Alligator mississippiensis: one gene and its partner. Each later gene encodes a partner of the first gene's protein in a complex. Links are inferred from orthologs where the notes say so. Each region holds a gene or a part of one and is shown in the gene's direction. Other genes may lie near its edges.

Evidence for each region.
Region 2: the proteins of ZDHHC9 (region 1) and GOLGA7 are in contact, whole or in part, in a cryo-EM structure (PDB 8HF3), measured with the Homo sapiens proteins. The link is inferred for Alligator mississippiensis from reciprocal best matches to the Homo sapiens genes ZDHHC9 and GOLGA7. Residues at the interface, in NP_001008223.1 of Homo sapiens: Phe78, Ala81, Arg85, Ile94, Pro95, Leu98, Asp100, Glu101, Phe104, Ile105, Phe129, Gln130, Ile131, Asn132, Ile146, Pro149, Pro150, Arg182, Tyr183, Leu186, Tyr274, Lys281, Cys284, Glu285, Leu287, Cys288, Gly289, Pro290, Leu291, Pro292; in NP_001002296.1 of Homo sapiens: Lys11, Phe13, Gln15, Tyr18, Ser19, Ser20, Gly21, Thr22, Ala57, Glu58, Leu60, Ser64, Tyr65, Gly68, Cys72, Ala75, Tyr76, Thr77, Phe79, Leu80, Tyr86, Glu87, Leu90, Ile116, Arg118, Gly119, Arg121, Val122.

Annotation. Positions count from the first base shown.
Region 1 is NC_081831.1:39,919,382-39,923,126, reverse strand, and holds the start of ZDHHC9 (palmitoyltransferase ZDHHC9), read left to right. Parts: upstream 1-1,102; 5' UTR 1,103-1,192; intron 1,193-2,066; 5' UTR 2,067-2,174; coding exon 2,175-2,341; intron 2,342-3,745. UniProt on the Homo sapiens protein: Palmitoyltransferase that catalyzes the addition of palmitate onto various protein substrates, such as ADRB2, GSDMD, HRAS, NRAS and CGAS. The ZDHHC9-GOLGA7 complex is a palmitoyltransferase specific for HRAS and NRAS.
Region 2 is NC_081830.1:17,408,296-17,412,040, reverse strand, and holds the start of GOLGA7 (golgin subfamily A member 7), read left to right. Parts: upstream 1-911; 5' UTR 912-1,037; coding exon 1,038-1,148; intron 1,149-2,858; coding exon 2,859-3,011; intron 3,012-3,745. UniProt on the Homo sapiens protein: May be involved in protein transport from Golgi to cell surface. The ZDHHC9-GOLGA7 complex is a palmitoyltransferase specific for HRAS and NRAS.

The DNA of each region.
Region 1 (3,745 bases):
GAAATGGATATAGTACCCAAGTAGAGTGCACTCCTTAGCATGCCTGAGACCAAGCTGAAGTGCCTGTGTATTTGACTGCATGCTGTGGTGAGTGGAAAGAGAAAGCGCCTGGCCTTTTCAGCTGCTCTCAGAATGTGCAAAGAGAACCTTGATGGGAGTGCGGGAGGTTGTACCGCACAACACAACATTTTGATTACAGGATGTTGCTCCAAGCCACATTTTGACTAAATTTATGAGAAAGATGCCCTCTGTCCCATGCTTTGTTCAAGGCCTCAAACTGTACAATTAGCTGGCATTGCCAGAACCAGAAATTAAGCTTGTGCCTCAAAACATTGAATTAAGCTTCCATTTTACACCCTTTGTCCAGGATCTACCATACTGTTGGGCTTGGCTAGGTCGTGGACAAGTGTTGTCACCATGTCATCTTGAGTACAGGGAGCCTGGTGTACCCTAGCCTGGCATGACTCTGACCCTGGCTCACTAGGACAGCACCTCAGCCTTAGGCAGAGGGGCATGCGCTGCTCCAAGCACCATGAGGATCCTGCTTGCCCTTCTGTGGCCTCTGGGCGTGTGTTGACCTGGTGGGGTTAGACATGGCAGGCGAGGGCTGGGTCGGGTGCAAACGTGCGCGCGGGCTCTGACACGCGCCCAGCTGACATGAAGGCGGCAGAAGGGACTGGGCCTGCAGGGGCTCCTTGGAAGCGGTCAGGTCATCCTCTAGGCAGGGAGACCCTTCCCATGGGGCGGAGAGGACGTGTCCCCCAGAAAACGATGACGCTGCGTGTGGGCTGGGGGCTGCAGCCTCTCTCCGGGCAGCCTTCGGGGGAGCAAGAGGAGAGAAACCCCCTTTCCCCACCCAGAGCCGCTAAGGCAAAGCCTGCGACCGGGGGCGGGGCGGGGCGGGGCGAGCAGAGCAGTTGGAGGAAGACCCGGGCCGGGCCCCGGACGTAGGCTCCCTCCGGCCCCGCCCTCTGGGCGGCTGCGAGCCTGGGGCGCGGGAGTGACAGGCCCCTTAGCCAATAGACTGCGCCAAAAGGCTCCTGGGCGGAGCCTCGTCCCGGCCGGACCAATGGGAACTGCTACCCCTCCTTCCTCAGCCATGCGGGGCGGGGCGCTCCCAGTTCCCACCCGCAGCCCAGCGGCGGCGAGCGGCCCGCCCGGCCTCGCCCGGGGCAGAGGCAGGCACCGACAGGTAAGAGGCCGGGCTGGGCCGGGCCGGGTCGGGCCGCGCCGCGAGTCGGGACCGGGGCCGGGCAGCGCCGTGTGCTGGAGTGCGGCGGGCCCGGCCCGGCCCGGCCCGGCCTGGGGCGGCGGGCATTGTCCTTGGCACGTGCGGCCGCCGCCGTGGGGGTGGGTCCTGGTCCGTGCCGCGCTGCGCTCGGGGCCTTTGTGCGCCCCCCGGGCCGGTCGGGGCGCGGGAGGCGGGAGCGGAGCCTCCCCGGCCGCCCTTTGTGCAAGGCCCGCGGCTCCTCGCGCTCGGCGCGGCGCCTGGCTCGGGACGCGCCTCCTGCCCAGGCCGCTCGGAGCCCGGACTCGGGGCGGGTGGGCTGCTGCGCTCCACTGCTGGCTCCCGAGGGGGAGCGGTGAGATGCAGGCTCTTCCCTTGCCGGTGTCGCGGCTTCTGGAGGCTGAGCCCGGGCCCCGACCCCACGCCAGGGCCGGCAGAGAGCGGGGCTGAGGCACGGGCAGCCCCTCCGGCCGGAACTCCACTCACAGGCTTCCTGTGTGACCCTTCTCCAGCAGCTTCACTCCCGTGTGACTTGCTTCCCCTCAGCCACGCTGAGGCCAGTGCAGCCCTGCCCTGGGAGTTGCAGGCTGTGGCCCCTGAGTCCTGAGCTTGAACGAGGCACTAGCATGGGGCAACAGTGGGGTGCCAGGAATACTCCCATGCAGGCAAGCAGTCCCAGACTGCCTGCTTTCCCCCTCTGTGCGTCTTGTGTATGGGGGAGCTGGAACGGAGCTGGTGGGAAGGAGGGAGCACCATTTGTCATCAGCTTGGAGAGTTCCCTCAGTTGACACATTCAAGGGGGTTATCAGACCACGCTGATGCATTCTTGTCTTCCCAGTTTCTTTAGCAAATGATGCCTGGACTCTGAGGATGCTGTGTGTACCAACAAGTTTGGAGCAGAGCCTGGACGTTGCTTGGTTGCCTGCCTCCCTGTGAATGTGCGACCATGTCTGTGATGGTGGCAAGGAGGAAAGTGATTCGGAAATGGGAAAAGCTGCCGGGCAGGAACACCTTCTGTTGCGACGGTCGCATCATGATGGCCCGGCAGAAAGGCATCTTCTACTTGACACTCTTCCTCATTCTTGGCACTTGTGCCCTCTTCTTTGCTTTTGAGTGAGTTCATAGCAGGCTGAGATCCCTGCTCGTGCAGGCGTCTGTGGGGCTAAAGTCACTGTCATAGGTTGATAGTGAGAGCGTGAATTTGACCACTATTGCTGGGTCATGTTGGCTGGGATTTGAATTAAGGGATAAAGAAAACATTTGCTGCTGACCTATGACGCTCTTACCAGTTGGGTGCAGTGCACCAGCTTCAGTTTTGTAAGTGCTTGAGCTCCTAGGGCACTGGTGGAGCCAAGTTAATTTTATTCTTTTAAGAAAGCCCCCTTCAGAGATTCTCAGCCTGTGGCATGACATTGGTAGAAAGGAAAAGCAGATGGGGCATGAGATTTTGTGTCTTGGGGTTGGCTTCAGTAGGCATCCTACAGCACCTCATTAGTATAAGATATCTTTCTACGGAGGCTCAAGTTGTGCTGTTTCAACTATTTTTAAAATGACTTTGGTTACATTGGCATAACTTGTACAGACGACCTTGTTTCCTCGTTATTGCAACTTTCTCTTCATGTGGCATATGTGGGAACAGAAGACAGAGTAGAGTTGCATCTTATAGACTAAATCAGAGATGCATAAGCTTTCATAAGCAACCGCTTGCTTCAGGAGTGTCTTGAACGTAATTGGTGATGGTAGTAAGGCTCCTTGAATATACTTGGGGCCTATTGCATTATGGAGCTCCTGCCACTTCAGCTGTGCTGGCATAGCCATATTGGCAGAGCCCCTAGAGGAGACATGGTATAAGTTGACAGAAGAGTTTTTGCTACTGTGCTTCCTGGCAGTAGAGCCTGCGAGTCCTTTGCTTGGCCCTTGCAAGTCCTCAGTTGAATTGCCTGTTCTGTATAATCGGACTGTATAGTTCTGATTAAGTCAATGTTTTTTTCCTTCCTCCAAAAAACAATAAAAATCACAGTCAACTTATTGTTCCAGTTATATTTCAGTCTCACATAAATTGACTGTCATTTTTATTGTTGTGTTTGAGGGGGGTGGGAATTGGTCAACTTGAAATGGAATCAGTATGGAAGGCGCAGACCAGACCTTCAGTTAATGACTAACCTTTACTCCATTCGTGTTGTCACATGGTTTGTATCTGGGGGTGGAGACTTAAGAGAAAAGAGTTTCTTTTGTGAATGGCCTATACGCTGTCTCCAGATGATTACAATTTTGCACATTCCTTGGTATTTGTTTACAGCTGATTCCTTAGGGGCACAGACTCTGCTGAGTTTTACCTTGCTTCCCCAAGGGCACTTGCATTGACTGTCCTGAATGATTCCCTGGGTAATATGACAGGTTGTATAAATGTCTCTGAGATCCAGAACCAAGGCAGACACTAAAGAGAAGTGGGAGACTTTGAATGCTGTACTGTGTTTGGCAAATAAGTGTGTCCTTCTGGTAATCTGTTCAGGGCTT
Region 2 (3,745 bases), on another chromosome or scaffold:
AGTAAAGTGCTGCCCATAGCTCAGCACCACACTCCTGCAGCCCCAGCAGGATGCCTCCTTCCTGGGGTCAGGGTGCCAGTGCCTTACTGTGTGACATATTCAACCCCCACTTCTCTGGGCACAGGATTAAGTGGGGCAGCAGAGGACACCGGGGTGCAGCGTGGTGCCCCAAAGCAGTGCGTGTGGACAGCGACAGAGCTGGGGGAGGCGAAGGCACTGCAAGCTGTGCTTGCTCATCCCCTGCTGCAACAGCGCAGAACACGCCTGTGCAACAGGAGCACCGTGTGCCTCAAGCCGGGATGCTGGGCAGTTTGCCCACAGCTTGACAGAGGCGGCGGAGCAGCTGCTGGGGAGTCCCGCACCCCTGTGTCCCTTGTGCTGTGCCAAGGGGGGGTCACCACGCTCCTGCTACCCTGCACCACAACACATTGTGTGCGACAGAAGCGGGCCATGAGGGGGCCGCCATGCACGGGCCCACTCTTGCAGCTGCACTGCCCAGCCTAGCTTGGCCAGATCTTAAATACCAAACGATTGCATTGAAAGCTCAAAAAATGATTGTAATTTGCTGGGGGGGGAAAGTACCGTACCCCGAAAAATATGTAAAACAAGTATTTTTCTGTATGCTGCTCATGGTAAGCGAGAGAGCCAGAACCGGGCTATCCAAACCGAACCATTTATCTGGAGGTCCTGAGGAAGCAAAGCTGAGAGTCCCTGAGAGGGGCTTGTGGGGGTTGCAGATGCTGCACCCACAACCGACGGGCGCTCGAGGAGACGGGCTCAAAGCCTCGCACACGTGGCAGCGCCCACAAGCCTGCGCACGCACCACCCACACCACCGCCCCGCCCCGCCCCACTGACGCATGCGCACCCCCGGGTGGGTGACGGCGCGTTTGCGACAGCCGTAAGTGAGGCTGCGCGCGGCGCGACAGCGGCTGGGCAAGCTTGGCCCGTGCAGGGAGGGCTCGGGGACCGGGACCGGGATCGGGCCCGCGGGGGTGGCGGCGACAGGCGGACGGCCCGTGCCCGTAGGCCCGCGCTATGAGGCCGCAGCCGGCGCCCGTGTCGGGGAAGGTGTTCGTGCAGCGCGACTACAGCAGCGGCACCCGCTGCCAGTTCCAGACCAAGTTCCCAGCCGAGCTGGAGACGCGGGTAAGGCCGGCCCGGGGGCTGTCACCCGGGAGCTGTTATGGCGGCTTAAAATAGGACCGCCTTAAGTCCCCCCGGCACGTTTGGGTCACGTAAAGTAATTGCCAAGTTGGTCATACACAGTAATGGTAGTGGTGTGCGTGTCGCAGGTTGGAGGACACCGCCGAGTTGCTTGTCGCTTCCTGCTCGCTCCTCCTGGAAAACAGCATGTTTCACGAATGAGTGGTTCGTGCCAAGCACCTGCTTATTAAAGACATATAATTAAAGCCACGGCCGTGTGGGAGTGCCCCTGTTACAAAGCATGACGAAAGCCGCCAGATTGACCCTCAGCCTCCGGCTCCAGTCGCCCCCGAGGTCCCCGCTCTTAGCGTTTCTATGCTCGCGCCAGGGTGGCACGAATGCCTGCCGAGAGCCCGGGTGTTAAAGCTCCTGCGGTATGAGCTAAGGGCTGTGTCCTGCACCCCGGGCACCTACAGTGTCTGGGGACACGGGTGTGTCGGAGCGTGCGAGGTCACGCCACGCTGCTTTGACACAAGTGGCTTGGGAGGCTCGGTTTGTCTGACAGCAGCGAGATGAAATAGTCCCTGTCTAAATGGCCCAGAGCAGATGGCTGTCCTCCTGTGTTTACTTGACGCTGTTGTTTTGAGTGAGCAAGGCGAGTAGTCTTGTTCCCTCTACATGCTGGGTAGCATTGCTTTCCTGGGGGACAAAAGTCTGCAAAATGATTAGTTGTCTTCAAATTGACCTAAACTGATCTTTGGGATTTTAGCTGAAAGGGACATTTTGTAGTTAAATAAAGGGTAGGTTCCTGTGGGCAGGGAAGTAGAAATGCCCTCCACACTCTTGCTTCTTGCCTATGCAAACAGTAATTAGAAAATACCGAACTTTGAATGTGATGTAGAAATCTAGACATACAAATGTGCCTACAAGTCTAACTTCCAACAATTATGAAACCCTTCTGTTTTGATTCTCTCTCTGATCTGTGCCCTTGTCACAACACAAAGGGCAGCCGGGGCACTGAGAAATAAGGCATGTATTGTTGTATAGAAACCCATCCTCTGACAAGGCCGTTCTGTTGAGCCTGCGCTTCAGCAGCATCACAAACACCCTCTTATATTTTCTATCAATGTGCGGGGTTTTGTTATTTGCAACACTTCCTTCAACTAGTGGAGTAACTCCTCCTGGTCAAATATTTTGTGCATTTCTTGTTGTTGGCAAATATCACTTAGGCTACGTTTGCCTTCTCTTTCACATCAAATCTGATACATCTTTGTTTATATCACTCACAAGCTTGATTGGCACTGGAGCAACAATCCCCCATACTTGAGGCCTTATTCAGATAGAGATTTGCCTATATGCTCTTTCATTGAATAGTGGTTTAAATCCCGAGTCTGTTTCCCTCTGATCTGTTCTTTTCACATCAGACCCCAATTCTTATCTGTGCTCGCTTGCGGGCACAGCATTTCAGTTGTGGTAGAATTCATTCTTGATGTAATTGCTTAGCTGAAAATTGAACAAGAGCTGCCGTTTTTGGAGGCCGTTTTATACTAAACGGAGCTGTGGCTCTCTCCACGGTGCCTGTTTGAAGCAAACGGTCTCTCAGTGGCAGTGTAGGTTACAGCTGTAAAAGGTAAAAGTGAGGTGGATGTCTGTACAGGAGGTCAGTGGAGCTCACTTGCTGAGCATGCTTGCTGAACTTGGACTTTTCTGCAGATCGATCGGCAGCAGTTTGAAGAGACTGTGCGAACTCTGAATAACCTGTATGCAGAAGCCGAGAAACTTGGGGGCCAATCTTATCTCGAAGGTTGTCTGGCCTGCCTGACTGCCTACACTATCTTCTTGTGCATGGAGACACATTATGAAAAGGTAAGCCAGTTTGATTTGCTTTATGACCTGAAAGACAACACTCAACACTACATTAATTGAAGACTTACTTCATTTACAGTGATGAGTAGCACAGTGAAGTCTCTAGTACAAAGCCGAAATAAACTCTCATGCCAGACCGACTTCCTGAAATTCCTTGTGTGTCAGATCTGCTCCCCTCTTGCTCAACTGTTACGTATGAAATAGATTCTGTTTGACTCTCCACATAAAGGGCGGATTTCATGCTGTGATCATTTTTCCATTTTACTCACTTTTTATCTAAATACACAGTGTCACACTGAAACTCTCACCTGACAGTTCACTCATGAAAACTTATGTTTGATTAAATATACCTGGCCTATGGTGTCCCTTGTACAGGCTGGGTGATTTGCAGGAATTCTTTATGGGGAATCAGTCATGCAGTCATTTTGTGATCCTCGTAATGGACTGAGGTGAGGGAGAGGGCATCTCCAGTTTCCCTTCCTGGGGGCTTGGCGGAGATGCAAATGGGATCTGAGCTGGATATCTGTCTGGCTTGCTTCCATTTATTCTTTGAAGAAAGTGGAGATGTGCCCAATTCAGAGATAAGAAACCAAAGACTTTGGACAGAAAAAGCTTCCTGAGCTGAGAAGTTGGGAGGGGTTCTTACTAGCCTGAAAGAATAGTGTTCAGTATGGGCAAGACCTGGGAAGCTTCATTCCACTGATTCTAGTACAAAAAGTCACTCAGTCAAGGCC